4 linked regions of the Canis lupus familiaris genome follow. Each later gene encodes a partner of the first gene's protein in a complex. Links are inferred from orthologs where the notes say so. Each region holds a gene or a part of one and is shown on either strand. Other genes may lie near its edges.

What was found.
Region 2: SMARCC2 (region 1) and PHF10 share a complex: the UniProt entries of both Homo sapiens proteins name them as parts of the neural progenitors-specific chromatin remodeling complex. The link is inferred for Canis lupus familiaris from reciprocal best matches to the Homo sapiens genes SMARCC2 and PHF10.
Region 3: SMARCC2 (region 1) and SMARCD3 share a complex: the UniProt entries of both Homo sapiens proteins name them as parts of the BAF complex. The link is inferred for Canis lupus familiaris from reciprocal best matches to the Homo sapiens genes SMARCC2 and SMARCD3.
Region 4: SMARCC2 (region 1) and DPF1 share a complex: the UniProt entries of both Homo sapiens proteins name them as parts of the neuron-specific chromatin remodeling complex. The link is inferred for Canis lupus familiaris from reciprocal best matches to the Homo sapiens genes SMARCC2 and DPF1.

What each region holds. Positions count from the first base shown.
Region 1 is NC_049231.1:831,658-838,199, reverse strand, and holds the end of SMARCC2 (SWI/SNF complex subunit SMARCC2), read left to right. Parts: intron 1-994; coding exon 995-1,376; intron 1,377-1,682; coding exon 1,683-2,108; intron 2,109-2,645; coding exon 2,646-2,722; 3' UTR 2,723-3,447; downstream 3,448-6,542. Other genes in the region: MYL6 (myosin light polypeptide 6), read right to left, coding at 4,989-5,017, 6,033-6,110, 6,202-6,375. UniProt on the Homo sapiens protein: Involved in transcriptional activation and repression of select genes by chromatin remodeling (alteration of DNA-nucleosome topology).
Region 2 is NC_049233.1:72,424,399-72,431,702, forward strand, and holds part of PHF10 (PHD finger protein 10), read right to left. Parts: intron 6,143-7,304; coding exon 5,989-6,142; intron 1,565-5,988; coding exon 1,409-1,564; intron 1-1,408. UniProt on the Homo sapiens protein: Involved in transcription activity regulation by chromatin remodeling. Belongs to the neural progenitors-specific chromatin remodeling complex (npBAF complex) and is required for the proliferation of neural progenitors.
Region 3 is NC_049237.1:16,010,687-16,018,498, forward strand, and holds the start of SMARCD3 (SWI/SNF-related matrix-associated actin-dependent regulator of chromatin subfamily D member 3), read right to left. Parts: upstream 5,269-7,812; 5' UTR 4,887-5,268; coding exon 4,809-4,886; intron 1,825-4,808; coding exon 1,613-1,824; intron 1-1,612. UniProt on the Homo sapiens protein: Involved in transcriptional activation and repression of select genes by chromatin remodeling (alteration of DNA-nucleosome topology).
Region 4 is NC_049222.1:115,597,055-115,604,971, forward strand, and holds the start of DPF1 (zinc finger protein neuro-d4), read left to right. Parts: upstream 1-2,969; 5' UTR 2,970-2,978; coding exon 2,979-3,088; intron 3,089-4,458; coding exon 4,459-4,619; intron 4,620-4,711; coding exon 4,712-4,819; intron 4,820-6,138; coding exon 6,139-6,266; intron 6,267-6,522; coding exon 6,523-6,612; intron 6,613-7,012; coding exon 7,013-7,091; intron 7,092-7,305; coding exon 7,306-7,437; intron 7,438-7,917. UniProt on the Homo sapiens protein: May have an important role in developing neurons by participating in regulation of cell survival, possibly as a neurospecific transcription factor. Belongs to the neuron-specific chromatin remodeling complex (nBAF complex).

The sequences.
Region 1 (6,542 bases):
GGGGGCCAGTGCAGCCCAGGACCACAGCCTGACACTGGGCCAGGCCTTGGTTGAGGACGGGCGTAAACAGCAGTGGAGAAAGCCTGAGAGTGGCAGAGCTTCGTGGCGGAGGGGCAGGAGGATCCAGCCCTGGGCAGTTAAGGACAAGTGGCTCACAGGGGAAGCCTGGAGCCCGAGGTCCCACACGATGTTGGCATCATGGGGCAGAGATTCTAGTTGGTTTTTTGATTGCCTCAGGTCCAGGTCCTTGAGCAGTGTTTGGCCCATCGTAGACTCTTGGTAAATAAGTATTCGTCGAGTGATCGAGCAGGTTTAAGGGATGATGAGAGGGAAGGGGCTCCAGATCCAGGAGGTGAACAGGAAAGGGTATAGAATGGACATGGTATTGAACCATTTTGGCTTTGAGATGATACAAAAAGAAATGTAAGACAGGGATCCTAGCAGAACCTACCGCTTAACCGGAGACCCCGATATCCAGTATGGAGGCGTCAAGAACAGTGAATGCTTAAAGTAGCTGACAAATTCAGATTAAAAGTCCTGAGAGATAATGAAATAAAGGCAAAGCTCGGAGGCCACAGAGTTGATCTGGGATGGCTTCCTACGCTTGGTAAGCATTTTGCCAATTTTGAGGAAAGAAGAGACCATGAGCTGACCTTAGGAACGGGAAGCATTTTCCCAGTGAAAATCATGACCGATTTCGAGCTTTGGAGCTGAAATGAGTCAGGGCTCCCACTAGATGAACTCCACCGCAGTGAGAAGCCACACGGGCAGCCGGACACCGCGGTGGGGATTCTGGAGCGGAGAGGGCAGGGCAGGGCCCCTGGGAAGGCCAAGCCCAAGATCTTCCCCCTTGGGAAGGCCGAGCCCAAGGTCCCCCTTGCTGCAGGGAACTGCCAGAATGAGAGGTAGGGTTTGTCGGGACGGAGAAGGCGGTGGGGCGTTTGCCTTCGTGGGCTTCTGCACGTGGGTAACGGTCCCCACTTGGCACCGGCAGCTGGAGTATCAGAGGCAGCAGCTCCTGGCAGATAGACAAGCCTTCCACATGGAGCAGCTGAAGTATGCCGAGATGAGGGCCCGGCAGCAGCACTTCCAGCAAATGCACCAACAGCAGCAGCAGCCACCGCCAGCTCTGCCCCCGGGCTCCCAGCCTGTCCCACCCACCGGCACTGCTGGGCCGCCCACGGTTCACAGCCTGGCCATGGCTCCGGCCTCCGTGGCCCCCGCTCCTGCTGGCAGTGGGGCCCCCCCCGGAAGCTTGGGCCCCTCTGAACAGATTGGGCAGGCAGGGTCAGCCGTGGGGCCACAGCAGCAGCAACCAGCTGGAGCCCCCCAGCCTGGGGCAGTCCCACCAGGGGTTCCCCCCCCTGGACCCCATGGTAAGTGACGGCTTCTGGAACTCCTGCTGACCAGGGGGCCCCCGGTGAATGTTTGGATTCCCTCTTGAAAGGGATATGTGACAGGACGAGATTTCTACAGATGGGCTCTCCTCCCTTCTACCCCTGAACCAACAGGGCTCCCTCCCCACATCCAAATCTTTGAGTCTCATCCAAGGCTTTACCTGCTTACTCTCTTGTCAGGGAAGGTGGTGCTGAGGAGTGGCTAGGTGATCCTTGCTAGCACAATGAGTCGGTAAGGGAGATCTTACGCCTCTAACCCTCTTGACCTCTTCTCTTTGCTCCCAGGCCCCTCACCGTTCCCCAACCAACAAACTCCTCCCGCAATGATGCCAGGGGCAGTGCCAGGCAGCGGGCACCCAGGCGTGGCGGGTAATGCTCCTTTGGGTTTGCCTTTTGGCATGCCGCCTCCTCCTCCTCCTGCTCCATCCATCATCCCATTTGGTAGTCTAGCCGACTCCATCAGTATTAACCTGCCCCCTCCTCCTAACCTGCATGGGCATCACCACCATCTCCCGTTTGCCCCGGGCACTCTCCCCCCACCTAACCTGCCTGTGTCCATGGCGAACCCTCTACATCCTAACCTGCCGGCGACCACCACCATGCCATCTTCCTTGCCTCTCGGGCCGGGGCTCGGATCCGCCGCAGCCCAGAGCCCTGCCATTGTGGCAGCTGTTCAGGGCAACCTCCTGCCCAGTGCCAGCCCACTGCCAGGTGAGAAGGGTCCTGGAGGGGAAGAGGGTGAGGGAGAGGGGTCCACATGGAGGGATGGGGGTCAGCTAGGGGAAGGGCTTAGGTCATAGAACTTCCACAATCCTTTTTGAACGCTCTGGTAAATTAGAACACAGGGGGAAGGGCCTCTCTGGCTGTCCTCCACCATTCCCCACCCTGGCAGCTGCCACCTCTGGGATGACGTTGGGGCCTTTCACTGGTGGGTCACGGAGGAGTCCTAAGGCACAGCGTCTCAGTTGTAAACTTGAAAAACAGCTACCTGTCTGCATGATGATTGGCATCCCCTTTGCTTGTTCCTATCACGTTCAAATGCCCCATTTAGAGAGTTCCCTTGGGGGCAGGAGGATTGTGGGTATTTCCGTCTGCCCAGTGTGAGGTGGGAGAGGGTTTTGGGGAAAGGCTCCCTCGGTCACCTACCCACCCATTGCATGCCATGCCCAGTTCTGTTCGTCTGTGGTGGCCTGGGTCTGGATCCCTCTCCTGCTCACCCTAGCTGATTCATCTTCCTTTTCTCCACAGACCCAGGTACCCCTCTGCCTCCAGACCCCACGGCCCCGAGCCCAGGCACAGTCACCCCTGTGCCACCTCCACAGTGAGGAGCCAGCCAGACATCTCTCTCCCTCACCCCCTATGGAGATCAAGGTTCCAGGAACAGCCCTCTCCCCACCACTGGGACCCTTCCCCAGCCTGGAGAGTTCATCACTACGTAAGGAAAGCTCTTCCTGCCCCTCCAAAGCCCCCATCATGCCTGTCAGAGGCATGCATTTTTATATCGGATTATTCACGGACTTCTGTTTAAAAGATGTTTCTAATGTCTGGGAGAGAGGATAGGATTGGGGATGCTGCCCTCAAAGGGCTGGGGAAAGGTGTTTATACAAGGTTCTAATTAACCACTTTTAAGGGTGCACCCCCTCAAAACTACTGCATTTTTTATGGATGAAAAAAAAAATGAAGCCCTTTAAAGAAGTAGAGAGATAAAAAAGCCACATTGGAGCTCCCTCCACCCACTAAAAAAAAAAAAAAAAAAAAAAAAATTCCAACTTTTACATTTTTTGGAGGAGGGAGGTGACAGGAAAGGGGAACTAAGGTTCTGGGAGAGCTCTGGGGATAGAGTAGGGTGCAGAGTCTGTCTCCTCCAGCCCTTCATTAGTAACCGAATCCACTCCCCAACCCCATCAGCCACCCCATCTCCGGTTTGTTCCTACTAATCTCTCCTGTGCTTCCTCAGTGTTGCTGTTTTAGGTCACCCCAACTCAGCCAATGACCCCTTCCCCCCCCCAAATGTCAGTTCTGTGTTTTTAAAAGTCACCTGCGTAGTTGATGTCAGCGTATGTGTATTTGGTGGGGAAACATATTTTGGGGATTCCTGTGGTAGGTAATAGAGGAAGGAAGAGCACCGTTCCTCTTCCCTGGGCCCTGTCACTGGGCGCCTAGAGGACATGGAAAGGGGAGCTAGAGAGGATGGGGAGCTGTGGAGCTGTAAAAACCTGCATTTTTCAAAAAGCACTTAAGCACCTCCTTCTTCTGACTTGGTGGGTCACCCCTCTAACCTCTTCCCTTTTCCACCGAGACCATCAGAACCTTGACTGGTAGCTTGGGGTTCCCTGGGATTTGGAGACAGTGGAGGAGGGGTGCCCAACCTAGGGTAGTGCCTACCCCAGCTTGCAGCTTGGCTCTGCCCCCTGGATTCCACGGCCTCCCATCTTTCCCTTCTTCATCCTTGATGTGAAGGTGGACAGGACCCCAGGCGGGCTCTCCACTAGTTTGCCTGGTCCCTGCCACCGGGCCTTTGTCGCTCACGTCCCCGTGTTTCTCTTCCTTTGCGTCTCGGCACCTTTCTTCTGTTCAAAAGTTTTCTGTAAATTTTTTTTCTTTCCTTTTTTTCTTTTCCTTTTTCTTTTCTTTTTTTTTTTCTTTTTTTTTTTTTTTTTTTTATAAATTAATTTGCTTTCAGTTCCATCTTGTGAATGCCTTCTGTGTTCTCTGACCTGTGGCTGCCAGGCAGGGGGTTGGGGCTGGGGGCAGCCTTTCCAGGGGCATTCGCCTGGGCTGGAGAGGCACTGGACGGCCCATAGACACGCAGGCACTAGGCCTCTCTCCACAACAGGCTCAAGGCAGCACAGCTGTCAGGACTGTGCACTGTTTTGGGAGCTGGGCAGAGGCTCTCACCTGCCCTAAAAATAGCTGTTTGAGACTTGGAAGGACATCCTCCCAACCTGGAGATTTTGTATATTTATCCTTTCAGAAGTAATGGCTTCATTCCTTCCCTTATTAGGCAGGAAGAAGGCAGGCAAGTCACATACTTCTATTACTGGCCACTAGCCCTACCGAGGTGACAGGCTCAGGCAGTGCTAATATGGCCTGGCTTTAGCTCCATTAAACACTCCCTGGGCTTCCCCCACAAAAGGCCATCAGTGCTTGGGAGAGGGACGGCTGGGTTTAACCAGATGGGAGGGCTAGGCGGACTTCCTGAAAGGAGGCAGACCGAGGATGGCCAGCCTTTGGTCCTACAGGGATTTATGGCTTCCTTAATTCCCCCAAGCGGTAGCCTCTGGAACATCAGTGAATGGGGCCAGTACTTTTTAAATGACACAAAGATGGATCCCCCAAGCCCTTCCCCAGCTTTTTTGACCCCTGGTCTATTGACCATGGATGGTCTTTCCTCCCCTTCACCCTGCTCAGGAAGGAAGGCAGAACCGTACTTAGGGCACAGAGCAAGTTTATTTGGTGACTGCTGATAGCAAATATCCAAGAGAGACAAGCTGGCAAAGGTGCTGTGACAAGAGGACCTAGGACGCCTTCGGGGCTACATGCAGTCTCACACGGGGGAAGGCACGGGGCTCGGGCACACCAGGAACGTCCTCAGCCATTCAGCACCATACGGACGAGCTCTGTGGATCGGAGAAAGGGGTGAGCCAGGGAGTAGGGCCAAGGGGAGGGGTCCACCAGGGGCCAGGAGACCACAGGACCACAAAGGTAGCATGGGTATGTGCCCGCAGAAACCAACCTTGGCTTTGCAGAGGAGCCACCTTGAGTCTGCCCAGTTCTCTCGGCCCCCAGCTCCCCTCCCACCAGCTGTTAGCCCCCCACCCTACCCTGAGCAGCAAGAACACAGCAGGAGGCAGAAAAGTTCTCAACTACACCTACAGCTATTGTCAGCCATTGGCAGGAGAAGACAGAGATTTGGGTTAGGGTACCTCCAAGCTGCCCAGCAGAAGGAAGAAGAAATGACTATTCTGCTACAGCAGCACAATGGGGCAGGCGACACCCCCCCCCCCATGCCAACCACCTGGGCCCCAGGGCCAAAGGATCACCCTGAAGCAAGATGGGGACCGGCTGGTGCAAGTTCCCAGACACCGGCACCTGGACCCTAGAAGCAAAACCTCAGAGCCCATTCTAGGAGAGGAGGTACCACACCCCCAGGCTGTCTTCCTCTTTGAGGAACCCCTCCCCTGCCCAGTCAGCTCCATGCAGAAACATGCTAGGAGGAAGTCAGATGGTAGTAGGGGAGGGGCAGGGACTAGAGAGCAGAGGTTGGGGAGAAAAACACTGGGGAGGGCGACTAGAGAAGGGAGGCTGGGAGGAGCCGTACCCGCCCCATGGGCCGGTCACCCCGACAGGATATGCCTCACAAACGCTGCAGGAAGGAAGAGACACTCATGGTGAAGACAAGACACAGACATGGGGTGAAGGGTTCAGGTGGTGGGGGAACAGACATTCCCTTTATTTTACTTCCCGTTCCTTCCCCACCCTTCACACATTACCCTTTTCTTTCCTGTCATATACCCCCATGGCCTCCCGCTCCCGGGCTGGGCCAGGCCCTGCCCTTTGCCTCCGGAGCCCCAAACACTTGGGCAAGAGCTGCCTGTACAACCGCTTCCTCCACGAGAGCCCCAAGTCCCTCACCTTCATAGTTGATACAACCATTGCTGTCCTCATGCCCCGCCACCAGCATCTCTACTTCTTCCTCCGTCATCTTCTCACCTGCAGAAGGAAAGAAAAGCATTCTGGGATCTGGGTGGCAAGTGTGTGTCAGGTGGCACCTCAGCTCAAAGGAGCAAGGGCAGAGCCTTACCCAGCGTGACAAGAACGTGCCGGATTTCAGCACCCATGACGGTGCCATTCCCTTCCTTGTCAAACACCCGAAGGCCTTCGACGTAGTCCTCATAGGTGCCCTGGTCCTTGTTCTTGGCCACAGTCTGCAGCATGGGCAGGAAGTGTTCAAAGTCCAGCACCTTCACATTCATCTCTGCCATAAAGGAGGGGGAAGGAAAGTCACCCGGGTCCTCAGGACTGAGGAGACTACAGGGCTCCCACGGGGGCAGGGGGCTCCCACTGAAAGCAGGAGTAATCTGTGGGATTTGCTAGTTGAGACAAATGTGCTTGAGGTCTGGGCCCATGAAGATAAAGGGAAGC
Region 2 (7,304 bases), on another chromosome or scaffold:
ACACTCTGCAGCACACATACCAGGCTAACTTTCCAAGATTTAATCTTTGGAGTTCATTTGCTTTCAATTATAAGCATTAATTAAATCTTTCATTTTAAAACTTAGGTAAGCTACATATGTAAAAACAAGTATAAAAATCACATAGCTGCAGCCTACTTAAGCCATCCTTGGAAAGCCAACCCTTGCCGAAAGAAGCTTAAGATTTGCTTGTCATAGGCTGAAAAAATATGCTTTTTTAAAATTGATTATGTAAAAGCATTTTCAATGTTAAATATGGATTAAATACACTAATAACACTAATTTGTTAAGTTGCTTTGTTTACTACAGGAAAAGAAAGGTAAGTGGACTGCTAGAAGGGTCCGTCTGGGGAAGGGAAGTTGGCTGGCAGCCTGCATGCACCTGTTCTTCTAGATCGTCCACCGCCATCCCAATCGTGACACACGATAAGATGTTTAATAAGTCCACTCGGCAAAACTACTCGATCACCTTACTCTAAAACATTCCTTCAAACACCTTCATAACCACAATAAGAATCATACTCGGATACATTCCAGACCATAGGAATGGTCCGTTTTACTATTACTATCCAGAACATAAAAGTGTACAGCTGATTTCACTCCTTGTAGGACACTCCTATCCCCCACGTGGGGATAAGGCTACTCACCTCTCACCAAGCCCTCTGAAGGGGAAAGGACAGACTGCAGGAGGAGCAGTAACAATACTGCTGAGAGCATACTATCTTACTCTGAGAGCATCCAGACCGGAAGTTAACAAGTACACGTATGTAAGCCAAACTACGTCACTAAATAATGCTTAAATCCTGGTTGTAGAATTAGAGAGGCTATTTGCTGAGGTTAGGCTAAAAATCACCACAGTGTAAATAACAGGTTTTACTATTTTCAGTTACAGAATTAGCTAGATTTGGCAAATGGATCAAATAACCTTTAGATTGAACCCAGTTCTTTCTCCAGGAGAGGAAGCTTATTCCAAGAGTCTCTCCACCCTTACTTTACAGCTTAGCATGCTCAGCTATACTAAATACTAGGATATTTTAAATGTCAGATAATTATGATCTTTACTCCAAGGAAACAAAGGATAAAGTTCTGTCTATGAAATAAATTTTTAAAAACCCATACTTGCCTGGTTATTGTTTAAAAGACAAAAAAAGATTTTCTTATAAATTGTACATATACAGAAAACAGAAGCTGAACCATAGGCAAAAGTGACAGAAAAGCCACCAGGAAAATAAAGCAAAAAAGAAGGAAGCTGACAGAGGGCACACGCCACAGAAGAGCAGCTAGTCAAGTGCAGCAGGCAGAGCTCCGCAACTCTGAAAGTCAAAGTTAAACTATGTCGGGGAGAGAGGCTGGTCAGGGAAGAAGCGGAGTCAGGGGCTTTTTTCTTCTACCTTGTACCCAGGGACTGACTTGGACAGTACAGAACGTTTGGAAGCATCTTTTCTTGGAGTAGCAGCTTTGTCCTTGGATCTCTGTCTTCCCTGGAATGGCTCCTCCTGGCCATCGGGAAGGCCTTCTCCTTCAGACACGTTGCCGGAGGAGCTGTCCTGGAGGTCAAAAGCACACACAGATTCCTTGGAATAGACACAGATTGAGAGTGACTTTGCATGCTACAGCAAAGATTTTGTTTAAGTTTTGAAGTTCCATCAAAGTAAAAATAAAAAAATAACTATAAATATAAAAAAAAGTTTTCTAGTGCAAACTGAAAGAAGTCATGTTAAAAATCACCTACCTGTCTTAGAAATATGACAGCACAAAGCTGATTCCATTTATACCAGCAAGTACCTTAAGCCATTGTTTTCTGACTTAACATGAACAGAATTGTCTGCTTCAACTGCTACTACTCCAAGACAGCTTCGACACCATTTGCCGTGTCACAAGGGGGCATTATTTATTTCGTAAAAAGTTGTTTAAAAACTAAATGGTCTTTTTGAACTTGGACACAGCAACTTCTTGCAAGATACATCCATGAAGGCAAGAGAAACAAAAGCAAAAATGAACTATTGGGACTTCATCAAGATAAGAAGCTTTCCCACCGCAAAAGAAAGTCAACAAAACTCAAAGACAACCTACAGAATGGGAGAAGATATTTGCAAATGACGTATTAGATAAAGGGCTAGTTTCCAAGATCTGTAAAGAACTTATTAAACTCAACACCAAAGAAACAAACAATCCAATCATGAAATGGGCAAAAGACATGAAGAGAAATGTCACAGAGGAAGACATAGACATGGCCAACAAGCACATGAGAAAATGCTCCGCGTCACTGGCCATCAGGGAAATACAAATCAAAACCACAGTGAGATCCCACCTCACCCCAGTGAGAATGGGGAAAATTAACAAGGCAGGAAACCACAAATGTTGGAGAGGATGCGGAGAAAGGGGAAGCCTCCTGCACTGTGGGTGGGAATGTGACCTGGTGTAGCCACTCTGGGAAACTGTGTGGAGGTTCCTCAAAGAGGTAAAAATAGACCTGCCCTATGACCCAGCAACTGCACTGCTGGGGATTTACCCCAAAGATGCAGATGCAGTGAAACGCTGGGACACCTGCACCCCGATGTTTCTAGCAGCAATGTCCACAATAGCCACACTGTGGAAGGAGCCTCAGTGTCCATCAAAAGATGATGGATAAAGAAGCTGTGGTTTATGTATACAATGGAATATTCCTCAGCCATTAGAAACGACAAATCCCCCATTTGCTTCGACGTGGATGGACCTGGAGGGTATGATGCTGAGTGAAATAAGTCAATCAGAGAAGGACAAACATTATAGGGTCTCATTCATTTGGGGAATATAAAAAATAGTGCAAGGGAATAAAGGGGAAAGGAGAAAAAAATGAGTGGGAAATATCAGAAAGGGAAACAGAACATGAGAGACTCCTAACTCTGGGAAACGAAGTAGGGTAGGGGTGGTGGAAGGGAAGTTGGGCGGGAGGTGGGGGTGACTGGGTGACGGGCACTGAGAGGGGCACTTGATGGGATGAGCAGTGAGTGTTATTCTATATGTTGGCAAATTGAACACCAATAAAAAAAAAATTAAAAAAAAAAAAACCTAAATGGTCTTAAGTAACTGTGGGTATTGGGTAGCCTGGGTGGCTCAGCGGTTTAGCGCCACCTTCAGCCCAGGGCGTGATCCTGGAGACCCCGGATCGAGTCCCACGTCGGGCTCCCTGCATGGAGCCTGCTTCTCCCACTGCTTGTGTCTCTGCCTCTCTCTCTCTGTTTCTCATGAATAAATAAAATCTTTAAAAAAAAAAAAAAAAAAAAGGACAGCCCGCGTGGCTCAGGCGTTTAGCGCAGCCTTCAGTCTAGGGCATGATCCCAGAGACCGGGGATCAAGTCCCACGTCAGGCTCCCTGCTTGGAGACTGCTTCTCCCTCTGACTCTCTCTCTCTCTCGGTCTCTATGAATAAATAAATAAAATCTTTAAGAAAAAAAATCTTAAAAAAAAAAACAAACTATGGGTATTTTTACTGAGTAATAAATGTCATTTAAAAAAGTTCTTCATGCACTCACTTGTACTCCATGTAAGTGTCAATATCGTCAAGCCTTTTATGACAGTATCTGACGTGTTTTAAATGTCGAGATTTAGGAGTTCAACATCTGATCATTTAATACTTCATTTGTTAATTTTAAATTTTCTAATTAAAATTAAAATGCTATATATTCATATAAATTATGAAAATTATAAATCAAAATATTTGGTTATCTGTAACTACGATAAATATCCTGAGAACTACTGGGAACATGAATGCATGTCTACATACAAAAAAACCAGATTCACACATTCACACGTTCACACATACCCTATCAATTCATATCCCTCATTTTTTTAAAAAACCACAAAACTGGTGGGGCACCTGGATATCTTAGTCTGTTAAGCATCTGACTCTTGGTTTCAGCTCAGGTCCTGATCTCAGGGTCGGGGATGGAGCCACAGTGTCCGGCTCTGCTCAGCAGGGAGTCGGCTGGAGATTCTCTCCCTCTGCCGGTCCCCTACTCCTCTAAATTAAACAATCTTTAAATATGTTCTTGAAAAAAAACCACACACACACAAAACTGGATTGTGCTCTGTGTGTATGCATGTGTTTTTTAATGGTTTAAAGCATTATGTGGGGTAGCCTGGGTGGCTCAGTGGTGGAGCACCTGCCTTCAGCCCAGGGCGTGACCCTGGGGTCCTGGGATCGAGTCCCACATCAGGCTCCCTTCATGGAGCCTGCTTCTCCCTCTGCCTGTGTCTCTGCCTCTCTTTCTATCTCTCATGAATAAATAAAGAAAATCTTTAAAAAAAAAAAAAAGCATTATGTGGATTTTATCACATCATTAGATATTCTTTATGGATTTTATCACATCATTAGATGTTCTTTGTTTTTTTTTTAAGATTTTATTTATTTATTCATGATAGACAGAGAGAGAGAGAGGCAGAGACACAGGCAGAGGGAGAAGCAGGCTCCATGCCGGGAGCCCGACACGGGACTCGATTCCGGGACTCCAGGATTGCGCTCTGGGCCAAAGGCAGGCACTAAACCGCTGAGCCACCCAGGGATCCCCTAGATATTCTTTGAACTTCATTTCTATCATGTAATAGATCACCTACTGTGGACATTAAACTTTTTTTTTAAATATATTTTATTCATTCATTGAGAGAGAGAGAGAGGCAGAGACACAGGCAGAGGGAGAAGCAGGCTCCACATCAGGAGCCCGATGTGGGACCGGATCCCAAGACTCCAGGGCCATGCCCTGGGCCGAAGGCAGCCACCAAACCGATGAGCCATCCAGGGATCCCCTGTGGACATTAAACTTATTCCTAATTTCCATTATAAAAAATACAGTTAACACTCCAATGGCAGGACACCTGGGTGGCTCAGTGTTTGGTCGTCTGCCTTTGGCTCAGGTTGTGATCCTGGAGTCCTGGGATCGAGTTCCGTGTCCCACATCGGGCACCCCCAAGGAGCCTGCTTCTCCCTCTGCCTATGTCTCTGCCTCTCTCTGTATCTCTCATGAATAAATAAATAAAATCTTTAAAAAGAAAACCAAAAACTCCAATGGCCATTTTTTTCCTAATTAAATTTTGTCCTTCAGATAAATTCTATTAGTGCATTTGCTAGGTCAAATTCTGTGCAAGTTAAAAATCTTGGTATATGCTGTTAAATGCTCTCCTGGAATGTTGGGTTACTTTTTACTTCTACAGGCAGAGTGAGGGAAAATTCAACTATAACATCATGCCCACACCACAGCTCCCCTTTTACCAATAAAAAAGGAGCTAAGTGGTACCACCACTTTAATACTTGAATAGCATCTTATTTTATGTAACATGTACCATTAAATAGGTTTTACAATTGTTGGGGACAAAAAAATAAACTGCCCATTTAATAGTAGCACATTCTCAGGTTCAGGTTGGCTATAATTACGTTTAAAAATAGCCAATTGCTAAATACATTATGCTAAATGAAATAAAAATCTTCTAGCAACATGTTTTTGCTCTCCTTCCCTTCCACAGAGCACACCAACTCTCCCCAGTCATGCAACTAAAGTTTGCAAAAAAAAAAAAAAAAAGAAAGAAAAAGGCATGCAAGAAAATGTACCTAATAACAGCACAACATACCAGTCACCTTCACATTTTCCTATAGGAAATCTAAATTACTAATTAAGCAATAGGAACACATGTTAATGTGCTCCCGAAACTAAGCCAGTTCAATAGGATTGCAAACTAATGTCCATGACCTTTCCTAACCTATTTGTGATAACTTTAAGGACAACTTTAAATACAAAACTTACCAAAGGCTATCCACAGCCTGTCTGCATCAATGCACATAATAAATAATTTTCTCAATGAAAGCGCTCAGGAAATTATATGCAACTGTCCTTTTTCAAAAAGGGTGGTGGTACAATTTTAATTCTACATTCTGGGAAAAAATTAGCAAAAACTCAAGGGGAAGGAGACAGCTCCTAGTAAAGATCAATGTTCCTACCGAAGTGCCTTTATGTTTCCGTTTCTCGTCGCCTCGACCATCCTCAGCATCATCAGAATCCCCGTCGCTGTCAAGGGCTGGGAGCTCAGGATCCAGAGGGGGCTCATAAAGCGCGGTGTTTAATGGCAGATACCGCAGCTCATCTGGTGAGTATCTGAGGATCAGAGAGACGATTGTCACTTGTCTTTTTACAATTAATACGAATGATCTAATTTGTGAGCTTTAAAGGTAGCCTTAACCTTCTCAATTAACCCCAAATACTTTTGGAAAATGACTACAAATGTAACAAATAAGTTTTCATTTTGTATCAAGTAAGGAAAATAAATGAGAAGCCTAAACGTTTTTTACACCAGGCTAAAAGTATATCATATGCATTTGATTATCAAAAGAGGAAGTCTCCCTCCTTTATCTTCAACCCAAAATAGAAAAAAAAAGTCAGCAGACTAAGGTAGAACTGTGGCAATTCAAGACTGTGCACAAAACCCATGCCTCCTGATCACTCCCACCCTCCCCTCACCCCATATCACTGCTTGTGGGTCCCCGTGGACTGCAGGACGATGCGTCCACCTCACAGGTGGATGTGATGATGACATCAGTCGACACACATGATGCACAGCAGTGGGTGGTACATGACATTATTTAAGAAATTTTTTTTAAAAACTTGTGATGCATGTACTCTAACAAATGTAATCATCACTTTTAATAATTTGCTGACCCCAAAGCGAAATTAAGATCTGCAACCCATGATTTAAATTGGACTTTCAAATAGTATGATCCTATAGTCTATTTTAAACACTGTTCTCTAAAGACCAGTCTCTATCCTCAAGAACATAAAGCTTAAAGGTGAGAGTTTTCAAACAAAAGGACCCTGTTAGCCTTATTTTCAATTACACCCAGGTTGGGAATGAGAGAGAAGCAGCCATCCCGGACAGAGTGGAAGCAGCAGCCAGGCCAGGGCAGTGACGTGGCCGGCACAACCAGGTGGCCCAGCCCGCCCTGCAGCCATTCTGCTTCCTCCTCGACATCCTCTGCAGACTGAGCCAGTGCTTCCCGGTTGGCAGGTCTGGGGTTGTGCCCGAGAGTCTGCACTCCCAATCAGCTTTCAAATGACACGGGTGCTGCTGGGCCATGAAGCACAATGTAAGGACCGAAGCACTGGTCCACCTGCATCTGCCACGGACACACGAACAGGTGCGGGCAGGGAGATGGGCAGCTCCAGCTTTGTCGGCAGATGTTTACGTTGTGGCTGAAGGGTGTTCTTCACTGATGAACCACAGAAAACAGGATACTGGCCCAGATCTCACACAACATCTCAA
Region 3 (7,812 bases), on another chromosome or scaffold:
CACAGCCCGCTTGTCTGCCCGCCCAAGGGGCAACGGCAGTGGTGTCTGGCATGGCGCTATGTCCTCTTGTGGGGAGCAGATGTGGCCCCATCCTTTATTTAGTCTGGGAGCCCCTTTCTACCCCACCACACCCTCAGGCCAGAGAAATTTAGACTTAGAAGGGGTGAGGGGGGTGGGGGAGCTGCAAAAGTGTTTGAGAAAAGCTAGGGAGAGGGAGGACAGAGGGGAGGGAGGAGGGATTCTGAGGACTTTCCCTTTCTGTTAAGCAGGGGTGTACAGCCTGAGGTGGCCTGAGCTCAGCGGGAAGCAGAGCCAACAACCTCTCCCATCCCTGGAGCAGGAGGTGATGGGTGAAGCTGGTGAGGACTTGCACCCCTGGCAACCCGGGGTTGGAAGAGGATGCTGACAGGCTATGGGATCACCTGCCAACAGGGTCCAGAAACACACCCGTAGGGATCCAGAGAGAGGGATGTCCTGCAGGGTGTGACTGCAGACTGGACTTGAGGTGGCAGCTGGGACTTGAACTCTTCTTGATCTGCTAGCTGCTTCTGATTCCCAAAAGCACCCCAGAAAATCCTTGGCCAGTTGAGATTAGCACCCAGCCTGGGGCATGGCTCTGTACCATCCCTGTGTGGTGGTAACCACTGCCCCCTCCTGTCCAAAAGCCTATTCTAAGGCTAGGTAAGCATCTTTCCTGAAAGGTCTGATTTGTTTTGAAGAAATTATCTGTGTGAAACTCTCCATCTATACAAGACAAATCAGGAACATGTTTACTGTATAAAAAGATGATTCACTTTGCAAAAGAATTCATCATGGGATTCCTATAAATGGTGAATTTTCCTTGATGTGTAAAAAATATTTAATAATGAGGTAAAATCCATATTACTCCTTTTATAGGACTCCATCTGGTGTGCAAAGGGAAGCATGTGTGTTTGGTTAAATAGTGAAACCCAGAGGGGCATCTCTCTTGCCAGACACCAGCAGGGGCTTTTGGGGTGCCACCAGCTGGCTCAGACAGGGAAATGGGCTGGCCCCTGGTGGCTCCTGGGGGCAGACCTGGTCCAGAAGACAGATTAGGGCAGCTCTTTAACCTCTAAGTGCCTAAGAACTACCTGAGAGCAGGACCGTTATGGAGACCACCCACCCACAGGGCACATCCCCAGACTCCACCCCCCTGGCCAGAGAGTCAGATTTAGACTATCTCGAGTGGGGCTTTTAAAACAGTCAAGCCAGGGGACTGGGGACGGTGCACTGGACAGCCACACTTTGAGAAACACAATCCCTGAAGCTCAGCCCTCGGCCCTCCTGCCAGCCCCACCCCCACCCCCACCCCAAAGACGGAAGCATCTCCCAGAACCTGGGGACGAGGGGTGGAGAGAAGGAGCGAGCAGGTGACAAGGAGAAGGGCGCGACGGCCGCAGCCTCAGTCTCTACGGTGGGCACACAAAGGAACCGGACCAGTGCCCCCTCGGCCCACCTCCCCAGAGGGCATCCCACCCAGGACGGCTCGTTCCCGGCCGATCCTCCCTCCCTGCTCCTTCTAGGCTCGCTGCTCAGCCACCCCGTCCCTGGGGTCGCGTGGCCCGCCCCCTCCGCGCTGGGCCCCACTCACCTGCGGCTCCGCGCGGGGGCGGTGGGCACCGGCTGGCCCTGGCTCTGGGCCTGGCTCTGGCCGGGCGGGGGCGCTGCTCGCTTGCGGGCGGGCTCCATGCCCGCGGGGGCCAGGCCGGGTCGCACGGCGGGGCTGCCCATGTACGGGGAGCCCGGGGGGCCCATGGGCGCCCCCTGGTGGGGCATCCGGGCTCCAGACGGCATCCCGGGGCGCTGGGGGGCGGGGAGGGGGGGCGAGGGGCGGAGGTGAGGCAGAAACAGGCGCCCGCCGGTCAGCTCAGGGCCCCGGTTCCGGGCGCGCAGAGCCGCGTGTCTCCCACCCCGCGCCCCCCCCCGCCCCCCCGGCCGGTGACCCTGATGCCGCCCGCGTGAGCGAGGGGTGGGAGGGGCAGGGGCGCCGCCACCGCGCGGCTGGGCGGAGGGGGCTCTGCGTCTCGCCGCAGGAAGCTAACTGAAGCCAGGCAACTGCACTGGGCACTGCCAGCCTCGGATTTGCGGAAGGTACCGCGAAAATGAATATTAATGGCGCCTTTCAACCTTTTCAAAGGATGTTCACAACCACATTCTCCTCTGCAAGACGGACCGGACGGAGGGGGTCCTTCCAACCCCACTTGACAGATGAGGGAACCGCAGCTCAAGGAGAAAAGCGACCTAGCCAAGGTCACCCCGCTCCTCCTGGCCAAGGTGGCATGGAACTGCCGGTTCCCCGGGTGTGGGGGCTCTCTGGTCTCTGCAGCTTCATCTGGCTTAGAGGCTCTGCTCTCTGCTAGAGGACTTCTGTCCCTCTTTCCACTCCTCACCTCTCTGTCCACTTCCTGGGCCGTCCTGCTGGGCACTTGCCCTCCCCACTAAACCCATCCTTCTCTCTGGGCCCCTGCTTTCCACCCTTCAGTCTCAACCCACACCCCCCTCAGCTGATTCCAGGTCACCACACCCAGGGGCACCCCCCCCCCCCATAATTTACTCCCAAGGTGAAGGCTGGAGGCCACAGGAGCCAGTGAGGTCACACCCCACCAGGAGTCCCTGACAGGATGGGAGGCAGCTGGGCTGGAGGTGGGCTGCCCAGAGGGCTTGCAGAGCTCAAAGGCTGCGAGTGAGTGAGCGAGTGAGTGGCATTTCCTCTTCCATCCATCTCTCCCTTCCTGTCCGCCTGCATTGCCAGAGATGGTTCCATCCTACAGAACTCTTCCACTTCCCACCCCGCCCCAGTGAGGTAGGAAGCCAGGGCTCTGAGGGGGACATGGAGAGCAAGAGGAGGCAGGTGTATTCCCTTGCCACCTCAGATGGGATGGAGATGAAATGCAAATTCACTAAGTGTTTCACAGACTTTGAAAACCCCACTTGTCCAGATTCCAGAAGAGGAATCCGGGAAGGCCCAATGGGCTGAAAAGTGGAGGGTGGGTGTGATGGGGACAAAGAGAGCAGGAAGATTCGGGAACAAGGGATGCAGCCCCTGTGCCCTGCCACCTTTTAAACACTACCTGCTTTGCCCTCAGGCACAAGGAGGAGCCCTGAGCCTGAGCCCGGTGAATTCCTTCTAAATGCCAACTCTCCCTCCTGTCCCTCTGGCCCTGCACTTTGTCTAACCCTAACTCCCAGCCAGCCAGCTGTCTCTGTCTATCTCTCCCACAGTGAAAACTGCCCATCCGTGTGTCTGCCTCCCCCACCGCACCTGACCCTATCACTCATATCTCCAGAGTGGTGGCCCAGAATGGAGCCTAGGCCCAGGCCCACCAGCACAGATGGGGTACTGGGAGTGGAGTGGTGGGACTCACAGCCACCCAAGAACTGAAGCTGTAAGTTGGCAAAAAAAAAAAAAAAAAAAAAAAAAAAAAAAAACAGAAAAAACCCCACCAACAACAAAAAAACAAAACCCAAACACCACCAAAAAACCCCCACACATATAGCCCCCTCTCTCTCCTAGATGGGCCTTTTTAAAGGGACTTCACCAGCAGCATGGTTAGGACCGGCAACTTGGCTGACCGACATGGTCCTCCCTGGGAAGTTGCCTCAGAGATCTCTGGGACAGGAGAACAGGCTGCCCCAGGGAAAGCCCCTTTACCCAATCAGCTGCTCTCCCATTCCTCAAGGCCAGTGATAACTTGCTGATCTGCTGAAGAGACCCCGAGAGAGAAGCTTCCAGAGCCCCCAGAGAGCTGTGCCAACCAAGGGGACTACCCCAAAGAAGGGCCAAGATTCTAGGGACTTTGGTTTCCCTCATTGAGAACGTGCCTTCTTTGGGGTCACAACCAAATTTGGCCATAGTCAACTTGACTGCCTCCTCTGCACCCAGCTCCAACCCCAGTGGCCATTCCAAGCCCAACAATCTCTGCCTCTCCCATTCCGCTGCCTTCCACATCTCTACCAGCCTGGCTCCTGCTGCCTCAGCCTGAGGTCCCATCCCCTCAGGTCACCCTGGGCTCCCTTGGGCTCCCTGTGTGCCTTCCAAGTCCGCTCCTGGCAGGAAGGTGCCGCCCTGCCCCTTCGGTCTCTAGGCCTTACATCCCTGACTCCAGCCCTTCCTTCACACCTTTGAGGATTTAAAGACATCGGCTTCTGGGGGCTGAGTCTGCCAAGGGGATCTTCAGACCCCTTCACTTGGGGTCTGTCCCTGGAGAGGGTCTTTCTCTGACCCGGATGGCAGAAGCCATCAGCAAAGCCCCAGAGCCCTCCTGCCAGGATGCAGAGGTTGTTGGGGCAGAGAGCTTCCCGCTCACAGTGCCTCCAGGGTCACCTGCTCCTTCCTCTTGCTCAGAGAGACACAATCAGAGAGACACTGTCCCAATGGATGAGCAGACAACCCAGCCCACCCGCTGCCGTGTCCCCTGCCCCCACCCCCAGGGCAGGGGAACACCTGGGCCCACGAGGAAAAGAATAGAAGACAACACGTCTAGTACAGAGGGGAACCCCCCCACACTTGGGGCGGCAGTCCCCAAGTCCCACCCCCAGCCCCTGACAAGAACCCATGCAAAGCTTCCGTCCCCGCCCGGGGCACCCATCCCCGGCCCGCCGCCTGCCGCCTGACGACGTGTTCGAGTGCCAGGGCGCCGGCACAGTGCTGGGGCTGGGCCGCGGGCCGCGGCGCCCCTGCCAGAGGGGTGGGAGAGCGGGAGCCCCCTCCCGGCCCCTCCCGATCATCCCTCCATTCAGCCCGAGCCAGCTCGCTCACCCTCCCCCGCTAACTTTCCCCCACTCACCACCCCATGGACCAGAAACTCAAAAAGTTTGCTTTTCGTGGCTTTGCGCGCCCCTCCGGCAACTTCGTCCGCGGCCATCGGGGTGGGCTCAGCGGCTCCTCTCACTCTCTCTCTCTCTTCCTCTTTCTTTCCCTTTTCTGCCTTTTTTTTTCCTCCAACTCTCCCCTCTGAGTCCTGCTGGGCTCTCTCACACTTCTACTCGAGCGGAGTGGGGAGGGGGCCCCTTCAGGGCTGCCCTGACGGCCCACGGCCCACGCCGCCGCCGCCCGCCCGCCGCCGCCGCCGCCGCCGCCGCGGCTGCCGCATTCCTGTACTGATAAGACAGAAATAGTCCGGCGGCCCGGGGTCTGCCTGTTGACTCGGCGGGGCCCGAAACGCCTGCCTTTGCAGCCCTCGCTGTCCAAACAGCGCAGATAAGCGGCGAGGCACGCCGGCGAGCCCGGCTCCGGGGCGCTGGGCAGCGGCACTGCAGCCCGAGGCCGCCCGAGGGCCGCGGGGAGGCGGCGCGGGGAGGGGACGCGAGGGGAGGCGGCGGGGGGCTCGTCGGCCACCCGGGCTCTCGCCACAAATAGTTTCTCGGTTAGGGAATTCGCCGGCAGGGCCAGGCAGGGAACAGGCAGTTCCAACTGTCCCCCAAGTGGGCTCCTGCTGCATTTCTGAGGCCCTTTCCCCAGAGACCTGGCAGGCCAAGTAGGGAAACATTCTCTGGAAGGAAGGAATCCGGGGGGGGGGGGGGGGGGGGTTGGGGGGGTTGGGGGGAGGCCTTCCTCCTGCACCAGGCCGACAGCGGTGGGTGTGCCCGGGGAGGCGCTGTCCCCTCGCGTCCACAGATGTGTGCGCCCTTGTCTCGCCCGCCGTGTGTGTCTGCACCCTGGTGTGGGCATGGCTCGGTGGCTGTGGGTGTGGATGTTTATGTGCGTGCACAGACAAATGCCTTCTCTGTGTGCCTCCCTCCACGAGAGCCTCGGGTGCGTGCGCGCGCTTGCGGGTGCGTGTGTGGCAGGACACGGCCTGTGTCTTCCAGCTCCGTGTGAGTCTATTTCTGGGTATGTGAGTCTTTGTTTGTCTCTATGTGAGAAAGTGAGGGCAAGAGGGGAAGTATTTCGGAAAGGGGAGGTGGATCGGACTCATGAGAACAGGAAGAGCAGCGAATGTGAGGGAAGGCGAGGAGCTGGGGTGGGTGCTTGCGTGGATGGATGGAGAGAATGGGGCATGAGGTGGGGGGTGGGGGGACCCAGAGGTGATGGGGCTGCTGGGTATAGGGGAGGGCGGGCCGCAAGACCCCCAGAGAAAGCAGGGGTAAGTGTGGGATTGGCTGAGGGAGCCCCAGAAGAGGCAGTGTTCAGAGAGCTGGCAGTCCCTGGGGTGAAGGAGGGACAAATCCTGAGATCCCCAGCCTGGGAACCATAGCACCACCCAGGCCCCCAATGGCCACACCCCTCTCTCCTCCTTCTGGAGGAAGAGCCCCAAGGCTTTGGGACCACAGTGGGTCAAGTTTGTGTGCTTCCTGGGGCTGCCCTGTCAGAATCCAGGTGAGGTGGGGCAATGCCTGGGGGAATTTGTTGGAAAAGTTATTTGAAGTTATACCCTAAAGACCCAGAATTACACTGAGGGGTGGGGGGGAGGTGTCCTGAACCTCAAACCCTTCAGAATGCCCTCAGAGGTCAGACAAAACCCAGGGAATGTTCTGCCTACAGTCCTTTTGCCTGCAGCCTGGTTTCCTTGGGCTCTACTTGTGCTCCTGGCTGTCACGGTCAGTTGGGTGCCCACTGTCAACCCTCTGAAAGGCCAGAGTGGCCCATGACAACCCTCCTTTTCTGGGGGCTTAGCCAGGAACCCAGAGGTCCTCTTCCTACCAAATCTCTACCCAGCTTCCCCTAGACTCAACCATGCAGAAACTGGGTCCTGCCAAGGTGGGAATGGCTGGGTAGTTGCCATAGGCCAGCAAGGTGGCTACTGGTGACCTGTGGAGGTAATCTCTCCAGTCTGCCCACTAACTTCCAAAACCCTTCACTTATCCCCATGTCTAAGCCTCTACTCCCATGATTCTTTTGCCTGGAATCCTTCTACTGCTTATCTGCCTGTCTTTTAAAGCCTAATGTGGGCCCCACCTCCTCCAGGAAGCCTGCTCCAGTTCCACTCCTGTGCACCAACCTTTCTCTTCTTTGAATACCCATTGCCATCTATGCTATGCCACAAATTGGCACTTGGCTGACCAGTGTCTGAGATGTTAGGTTTGGTTTTCCAAATGTGGCCCCCCTGACATCAGGGACTGGTCTTTAAGTACCACTCTCCTCCCCACTCCACCCCACGCTGGGACACGGGAACTTATGATCAAATAAATGCCTGCTCACACTTGCAACCACCCGAAAAGCTCAGTAGGCCGGTGGATGGAGCTCATACTCTGCCACTTACCTGAAGGTGTGAGTCGCCATGGGCACCCCTACGCACTGTGGGTGCTTCTAGCATGGACCCATGAAACCACAGACCTTAGAGGCTCTGGAGAGACTCGGGCTGGGGCAGACATTTTTAGGCCTTGTGTAAAGCTCAGAGCTCTCAACTCTCCAAGAGGTCTTTGGGGTAAAGAAGACAGCAAAGGAGGTGGATGGGCACCCCAGCTTGGGCAGCTAAGTTTCAGGGAGGATCACGAAGGAAAGTGGGGATACCCAGCATTTGGGAGGGGACGGGGCTTGGTGGTGGAGGAGATGGCAGGAGGTAGTTAGACCAAAGGCTCTGGCGATACCCAAGGAGCTGGTGAGCATCACTCAAGACCATAGCTAACTCCCTCCTGGGCCACCCCAGCATCAGGGTCTCCCCGACATCCCCCAGCCCCTTCTCTGGGAGACATCCCTCTGCCAGCAGAGACAACAGATATATAATGCATTCATGCCCCTCAGGCACACAGGGATGCAGACTCCAGAGGGACAAGGAGCCACCAGGATTTGCACACACAGGCACCTCTCCACCATCTCCATATCACACTCACAAGGGGCAACTGACGAGG
Region 4 (7,917 bases), on another chromosome or scaffold:
CTGGCCGGGACAGGGCTCCTGTACAGGTTGGTGGCTCCACAGGCTTCCTGGCCTCCTCACTCTGACCCCAGGCCGGGCCCTGGAGGAGGCGGGAGGAAGCGCTGGGGCGGGAGGGCCGCCGCCTTCTTTGCCCTTCTTTGCTCTCCCGTGGAGCTGAGCTGTCCGCCGGGTCGAGGGTAGGATCCGGCTCCCGCAAGACTGTGGGAGCCAAATCCCCTTGGGAGGCTGGTGGGAGCGGGCCTAGGGGTTCTGACTGCCTGGTTCCAGACCTCATCTTGAGCTATTAATTCACCACCCCCCTCCGGAGCCTCAGTGTTACCATCTGAGTATTGGGGAATCATAACTGCCTATCACCTCCAGGGGCTGTCGTGATCTTTGTAAAGCGCTTGGTTCAGAGCCTGACCCTGACTAAGTGTACTGATTATTATTAGAAGTATCAATATTGATTTCTCTGTGGTCCTGTTTCCATATAGGGCATTGCGGGGGCCTGGAGGCCAGGATAAGGTTAGGGTGGAGAGCGCCAGTGTGCCCTTCTTTGCTTTCATCCTCTGAGGGGTCTGCAGGGTTGAGGGAGGGCGGTGGGCTAGGAGGACCCCGTGGGCAGGGGAGTTCAAGTGTGGGAGACGGATCTGTGAAGGTGACCAGGGGCAAGGAAAGGGGGGAAGCGACAGCTCGGGTGGTGGGTCAATTGTGCTGATGGACAGGGGCCTCCAGGGAGGTGACGGACTATTCTATGTTCAGGCCCCTAACCGAGCAAATTGATGTAAGGGTTCTGGGGTGGGGCAGGCGTGAGCTGGGGTGTCTGAGGCTGGAGGTGTGGGGAGCAGGTGTAATGTGTTGGGGGATCTGTGAGGGTGGTGGGAGGTGAGAGAGGAAGGTGCGAGGACGGGCACTCTCTGAGCTGAGCTGATGGGCGGAGGGGTAGGGCTTACCAGGGGTGAGGTATGAGGTGGCCGGAATAGAGGCCTGGAGGCCAGAGTGAGCGTGGGGGTACCAGCATCCTTCACTTACTCCCCTTGCCCCCTACTCTCGGCCAGATGTGAAGCAGGGACCCACTGTGTCCTGTTGGGAGTGGGGAAGCGGGGAGGTCAAGGCCTTACCCTGGGGAGACTGGGGAGAGTTTGTGGAAGGGGGTCTAACACTAGGTGTGTGTGTGTGTGGTGTGTGTGTGTGTGTGTAGAGGTGATAAGTTTGGAGGAACTTGAGGGCATCTCTCTCACCAGAGGGTAGGTGGAGGCATCAGGTGACAAAAGAGGTGAAGGCTAGTCTGCCTCTCTGGCTGCTGCAGAGCCCTCTGGTGGACAAGGACATTTGTGGGGGTTTTATCCAGGAGGGGGCCCATACTGGAACACAAATTTTGGACCAGGGGGGTTCCGGTCCGTGTTGGTGTGGCCTGCTGGGGCAGCTCGCTGTCTGGGGACTCCTTAGGGTACAGTCTGTGCTGGTGACAGAGGGAGAAAGAAGGAGGTGAAACTCACCTGGGTACAGATACCTAGATGAGTGAATCCTCTTAGCCCCACCGTCAAGCGCCACCAGGAGCTGAGGGCCCTGTGGTTTCACCTCCCTCTGCCTCAGATTTCTTATCTGGAAAATGAGCGTAAACATAGCATCACCTGGGAGGGTCATTATGAGAATCGTATGAGCTGCTGGCTGTTGAAGTACTTAGAATTGTGTCTGGCACCTGGTGGGTACCAGTATATTTTTATTTACTCATTCAACAAATACTTATTGAGCATCTATTATGGGCCAGGCATTATTCTTTCTGGTAGTGGTTGGCTAGCACCATTTTACACCTGACTTCATATCCGATCTCCTTGATGGAGTGGATTTACTGAACCTACTACCTGCCAGGTGCCTTTTATTTTATTCATCTATTTTTAAAGATTTTATTTATTTATGCATGAGAGACACACAGAGAGAGACAGAGGGGCCGAGGGAGAAGCAGGCTCCCTGCAAGGAGCTGGATGTGGGACTCAATCTTGGATCCCGGGATCACGCCCTGGGCCAAAGGCAGACGTTCAACTGCTTCGCCACGCTGGCATCTCCCCCCTGCCCACCCCGGGTACCTTTTAAAAACACTATATGGGGGGGCACCTGGGTGGCTCAATGGGTTAGGCCTCCGAATCAATCTCAATTCAGGTCTTGATTTCTCCGTGGTGAGTTTAAGCCCCGTGGTGGGCTCCCTGCTGGATGTGGAAAAACTAAAACTAAAAACACTCTATTTACTCATTTAATCCTTACAACAATCCAATGAGGTGTCATCCTCATCTTACAGGTGAGGAAACAGGCCCAGGAAAGTTAAGTCATTTGCCCAAGGCCACATGGCCACCGAGTTGCAGAGGCGGGATTCGAACCCGCCAGGTGCGGCTACAGCTCCTTACTGGCGACCGGCCTGCGGCAGGACGGGCTCGCCCGCGCGGGGTCACCGTGCCGGGGACAGCCCGGGGACCGGACAGGCCGGGCGCTGGGAGCCGGGAGGGCCTGGGGATGCGGGAGGGAGAGGTGTCGGTGAGGCGAGCGCAGGCGCGGGTGGGACGCCCGTGCGGGCCCCTCCAGGGTATCTCTAAGTCTCATGGCTTCGGAGTGTTCGTGTGAGTGTAAATGTATGTGAGTCTGTGAAGGCGTGGGAGGGAAGTGTGCGTGAGTCTGCGTGGGAGGCTGTGAGTATACGTGTGAATGTGTGTGTAAACTGCCGTAGGTGGGTGTGTGCGAGCCCAGGTGTGCCCGTGGGAGCGTGTGCCCGGGACGCTAGGGCGCGTGGGAGCGGGCGCGCGTGAGTGGCCGCGTGAGTGACCGCGCGCGCTCCCGGGGCCGCGCCCCTGCCCCCTGCCCCCTGCCCCCTGCCCCCTGCCCCCTGCCCCGCGGGGTCCCGCCCGGCCCCCGGCCCGGACTACCACTCCCAGCATGGCCCGGGCGGGCCCGCCCTGCCGTCCTGATTGGCTGTGGCCCCGGTGCTCCCGCCCCGCGGGAATGAATGGATGGGCGGCCTCAGCGCCCGCCCGAGCGCTGGGAGGACCGACCCGGCGGGGACCTGCTGGGGGCAGGACCCGGGGAGCAAGATGGCCACGGTCATCCCCGGCCCCCTGAGGTGCCGCGGGCCGGCGGGAGGCGGGAGAGGGCGCGCGGGCGGGTCTGCGCGGGCGCGCGCGTGTGTGTGTGCGTGTGTGGCGGCCGGGGGTGGGGCCGATGGGGTGTCTGGGGGGCTGTCACCGTGGGCCGTGCTGCGCGGGGGTGCGGATGTGTGTGATCGTGGGTCCCTGGCAAGAACGGGGTCCGATGCGCTGCTCCTGGAGGAGCGGAGGGTGTGGGGGACTCGGAGTCCTGTTCGGGTCCTCTTCGGGGGAAGGGGGGTCACGTCCCGCCCGGCGACCCCCGGGGTTGGGGAGAGACTGAAACGGTCTGGGGGTGCGGGAGGCTTGGGAAACTTGAGTGAAGTCCACACTACCTTTGTCTTGGCATGTGGAGTGCGTGTCACTTGTTTGTTTGTTTTTGATATGTGTGTGGATATGTGTTTAATTTATTTTAGTCTACACTAGGTATCTTTGGATATTTGGGTCTTTGAGTGTGCGTACATGTCCTTTGGAACTGTGCATCGCTTGTGTTCTGTGTCTGGATTTGTAGGCATGCATGTATTTGTACAGTTTTGTGTGAATATGGGTGGATTTGTCTGTTTCTGTGTTGTATCTTTGTGTGGATATGCGGTATTTTAGATGTTGGTTTCTATGTTGTGTATCTTTGTGATTGTGTGTGTGTCCTGTGTGAATCTGTGTGATTTCTTTGTATAGTTTGTCTGGATAGTGTGTGTGTGAGTGTGTGTGTGTAATTTGTTTGTGTTGTGTCTTTGGGTATATAAGTGCATGTGTGGGTAGTTTAACATTCTTCTCATAATATTTGTGTATCACTGTGTGTCTTTGGATGCGTGTATGTGTGTGTAGTGCTGTGTGTGTGATCTCTGCACATTGTGTGTCTTTGTGCGGGTGCTTTGTTTATGTTGTGTGTCTTTGGATATGTGAGGTGTATTCGTGCATGGATATATGTGGGATGTGTCTGTTTCTACACTATGGGACGGCGATGTTTGTATTTTCTCAGTAGATATTTGTGTGTGCACATATGTGAGGTTTGTCTGTTTCTCCTTTGTGAGTTTTGGGATATGTCTCTCTTTGTGTGTGAATCCTGTGTGGTTTGGTTGTGTTGAGTATTTTGACGCGTGCCTGTAGGGATGGGTCCTGGTGTATTTTTGTCCGTCTCTGTATGGTGTGTATCTATCTGCCTGTTGGCTCCAGGCCTGCTTGGGCCCTGGGCTGGGGGCGCCTGAGTCCCGGAGGCACAGGGGGGAGAGGGGAGGTTGGGAGAGTAGGCCCACCCACTCCCGAGGGGCGCGCCGAGGGGGGCTGCTGGGCCACCTGGCGCTCGCGCCCTTGCTGACAGCCACTCGCCCGCTCGCTCGCCCCCTCGCAGCCTAGGCGAGGACTTCTACCGCGAGGCCATTGAGCACTGCCGCAGCTACAACGCGCGCCTGTGCGCCGAGCGCAGCCTGCGCCTGCCCTTCCTCGACTCGCAGACCGGCGTGGCCCAGAACAACTGCTACATCTGGATGGAAAAGACCCACCGCGGCCCTGGTACCGGCCCGGAGGGTGGGGGCGGGGCGGGGCGGCGGCTTTGCGGGCCGCCTTCCCCTTGTTCTCACGGCCCCTCGCGCTTCTCACTCCAGGTTTGGCCCCCGGACAGATCTACACGTACCCGGCGCGCTGTTGGAGAAAGAAACGGAGACTCAACATCCTGGAGGACCCCAGACTGCGGCCCTGCGAGTACAAGATCGGTGGGTGGAGCTTCATCCTGGGCCTGGGGGGGACCCCATCAGTGCCCCCAGCACCCGCTCATGCGTGTGTGGTGAGGCCCTTGCAGGTCTGAGCATTTGCCTTTATTTCCCTCCCAGCGCTTGTCTGCAGGTGTGCGTCTGGTGTAGTCCAGACGTTCTCCAGTTCCCCCCGAGTGACTGGGCTTTGGACTTGGGCTGTATCTTCTCCTCCGGCCCAGGTGTATTCGTGGGCAGAGTGGTATCTGTTTCGTGTGTGCCTGGGTGTACCTTCCCTGGCGAGCTGGGATGGATCAGGGTCCCGCTGGCTTTCTTCCTATGGGTGCCTCCTATGTGTGTCTGGATGTGTCCGGGTGTCTTTCCATCCGTAGGGGAGCATATCAAAGTGTCTGTGTCTCTTTCTAGGTGTTTTCAAGAGTACTAGAGGGGCTATTTAGTCTTGTGTGTGTCTGGTCTAGCAGGGTATCCTGAGTGTGTCTGGGTGTATCAGGGCGTCTGGGTGTCTCTTCCTTTGAGTGTCCAGATGCTTTGGGATGTCTGGGAGAAGCCCTTCGTGGCTGGAGTATTACGTATATTTCTGCCCACGTGTGCTCGTCTGGCCAGAGTGTTGGGCTTTATGACCTTTTGACTGTGACCAGTAGTGTCACAGTCGCTGGCTCTTTCTCTTCTCCTGTCCGGGTGTATCCAAGGGTCTGTGTGGGTCCAGGTGTATTGAAGTGTCCATCTGGACACTATGTGTCCATCTGTGTCTTTCTGGGTGTGTCTGTTTGCCTCAGAGGGACTGTGTCCCTCCCCCTTGTGTATCCATCTGAGTGATTCCCTCTAGGTATGTCTGTCTCGCTCTCGTGTGTGTCCAGGTGTATGGCAGGGTCTGGCTGCGTCTTCCTCATGTGGATCTAGGTTGAGCTGATGGTTTAATGTCCCTTTCTGATTGTCTCCGGGTGTATCCAAGGGCTTGGATGAGTTTCCTCCGCGTGTCTGGGTGTATCTCTTCCTTTGTGTGTCTGGCTGCCTCAAGATGATCTGTACTTTCCATGTGTGCCCTGTTTGAGTGTCTGTAGCTCTCCATATGCATCCAGGTGTAAGTGAGGGTCTGGCTGTGTCTCCTTCTGAGTGTGTCTGAGTGGATCTGAGGGTCTGGCTGTGTCTTTCTCAGGGTCTCGGCATCCTTCCCAGTATGTATGATTGAGTCTTTGAGTCTTGTTGCCGGTCGAGTGTGGGAAAGCCTCTGTCCTGAAGCAAAGGGCATGGTTCCCTGACCCGGGCTGTTTGAGGAATCCTCCAGGGACAACATACCCCCCTGACCCCACCCTTGTCTGCAGACTGTGAGGCACCCCTGAAGAAGGAGGGCGGCCTCCCAGAAGGGCCAGTCCTTGAGGCGCTACTGTGTGCGGAGACAGGGGAGAAGAAGATTGAGTTGAAGGAGGAGGAGACCATTATGGACTGCCAGGTGGGACCACCCCTCAGGGGCCTGAGCTGCCTTCTCATCCCTGCCACCCGCCCTGGCACATCCTGTTCCTGCTCTGCAGTCTCCCCGGGCCTTGGGGCACCCTGGATCTCCATCCTCCCACACCCTGTCTCTTTTTAGAAGCCCCTCTTGACTTGCCCTCCTCCCCCCCATCTCCAGCGGTGTCCAGAACTTCCCCAGAGCAGGACAGCATCCCCCCCATTTTCTTGACCTCGATCCCCCTTCTCCTGGTGCCCAGAAACAGCAGCTGCTGGAGTTTCCACATGATCTTGAGGTGGAAGACTTGGAGGATGACATTCCCAGGAGGAAGAACAGGGCCAAAGGAAAGGTATTACCTCTCAACTTTTCTCCATCGCCCCACCCCTCCGTGGCAGAGCCAGTGTACTGGGCACACACAATGGTCCGGCCTTGCCCCAGTTTGACCCTATTTAATCCCCAGAGAAGCCTGACGGGGTGGGGGTGGGAAGGGGGTTCGTAGAGGATCTTATACCCATTTTACAGATGAGCAAACCGAGGCTCAGATATCATTATACCGTTTGCAAAACAGAGATTGTCCAGTGGCTGAGAGCCGCCTTATACCCACGCTACACGCGAGGAAGCTGAACCTCTCGGTGGAGGCCCACAGTTAGGAAGTGGCAGAGCTGCGGGTCACCTTTCAGGCCCACGAGGTGAAAGCCCTTCCGGTTCCCTCCGTTTCTTGGCCGCTCACCCCCCCCCTTCCCCCGCAGGCATACGGCATCGGGGGTCTCCGGAAACGCCAGGACACCGCTTCCCTCGAGGACCGAGACAAGCCGTATGTCTGTGATAGTGAGTCCTTCTGAAGAGGGGGAGAGAGAGAGTGGGGCCTAGAGACCTCCCCCCTGCTGGCCCCCTCCCTCCTGTTCTAGAGCCCGGTGGGCGGGGCGCTCAGGCCTCTGGCAGAGGGGGGAGGTGTGACCCCGAGGCCAGGGTGGAGGCCGCCCAGGGTGGAGGCCGCCCGGCTGGGAGGGCTGACCCGCCCCCCTCCCTGCTCGCCCTCCAGTCTGTGGGAAACGGTATAAGAACCGGCCAGGGCTCAGCTACCACTACACCCACACCCACCTGGCTGAGGAGGAGGGGGAGGAGAACGCGGAGCGCCACGCCCTGCCCTTCCACCGGAAAAACAACCATAAACGTGAGCAGGCAGGCGGGCTGTGGGGTAGTGAGGGACCCGGGGAGTGGGGGCTGAGGAGCCGGGGAGGGAGGGGGCACATTAGACATTTCTGGAAAATCTCCAGCTCAGCGGTCCCCTCCCCCCACCGACCAAGGGGATGCTGGCTCTGGGGTTGCCATGGCAACCAACCATCTCTCCCTCTCGCTCCCGGCCGGGCATAATATTTCTGGGTCTGATTTATTGTTTCAATTAGAGCTTGGGGAGGGGGGTGATAGATGACTCCCCTCCCTCCCTGCCTCCCTCTCTCCCTTCTCCGCGAAGCTTTGGCTGAGGGGCAGGGTCTGTGGCCTGGGAGCCCTTGGCGCCTGCCCATGCCAATCCCGTGCCAGCCCTGACAGCCGAGGGGTGGGGGAGGGCTTGGGGAGGCTCTGCCGGTGGAGGGACTGTCTTCCCACCCATCTCTTGGTGGGAGAGGGCAGTCTCTTCATCCCGTCCCCTCTA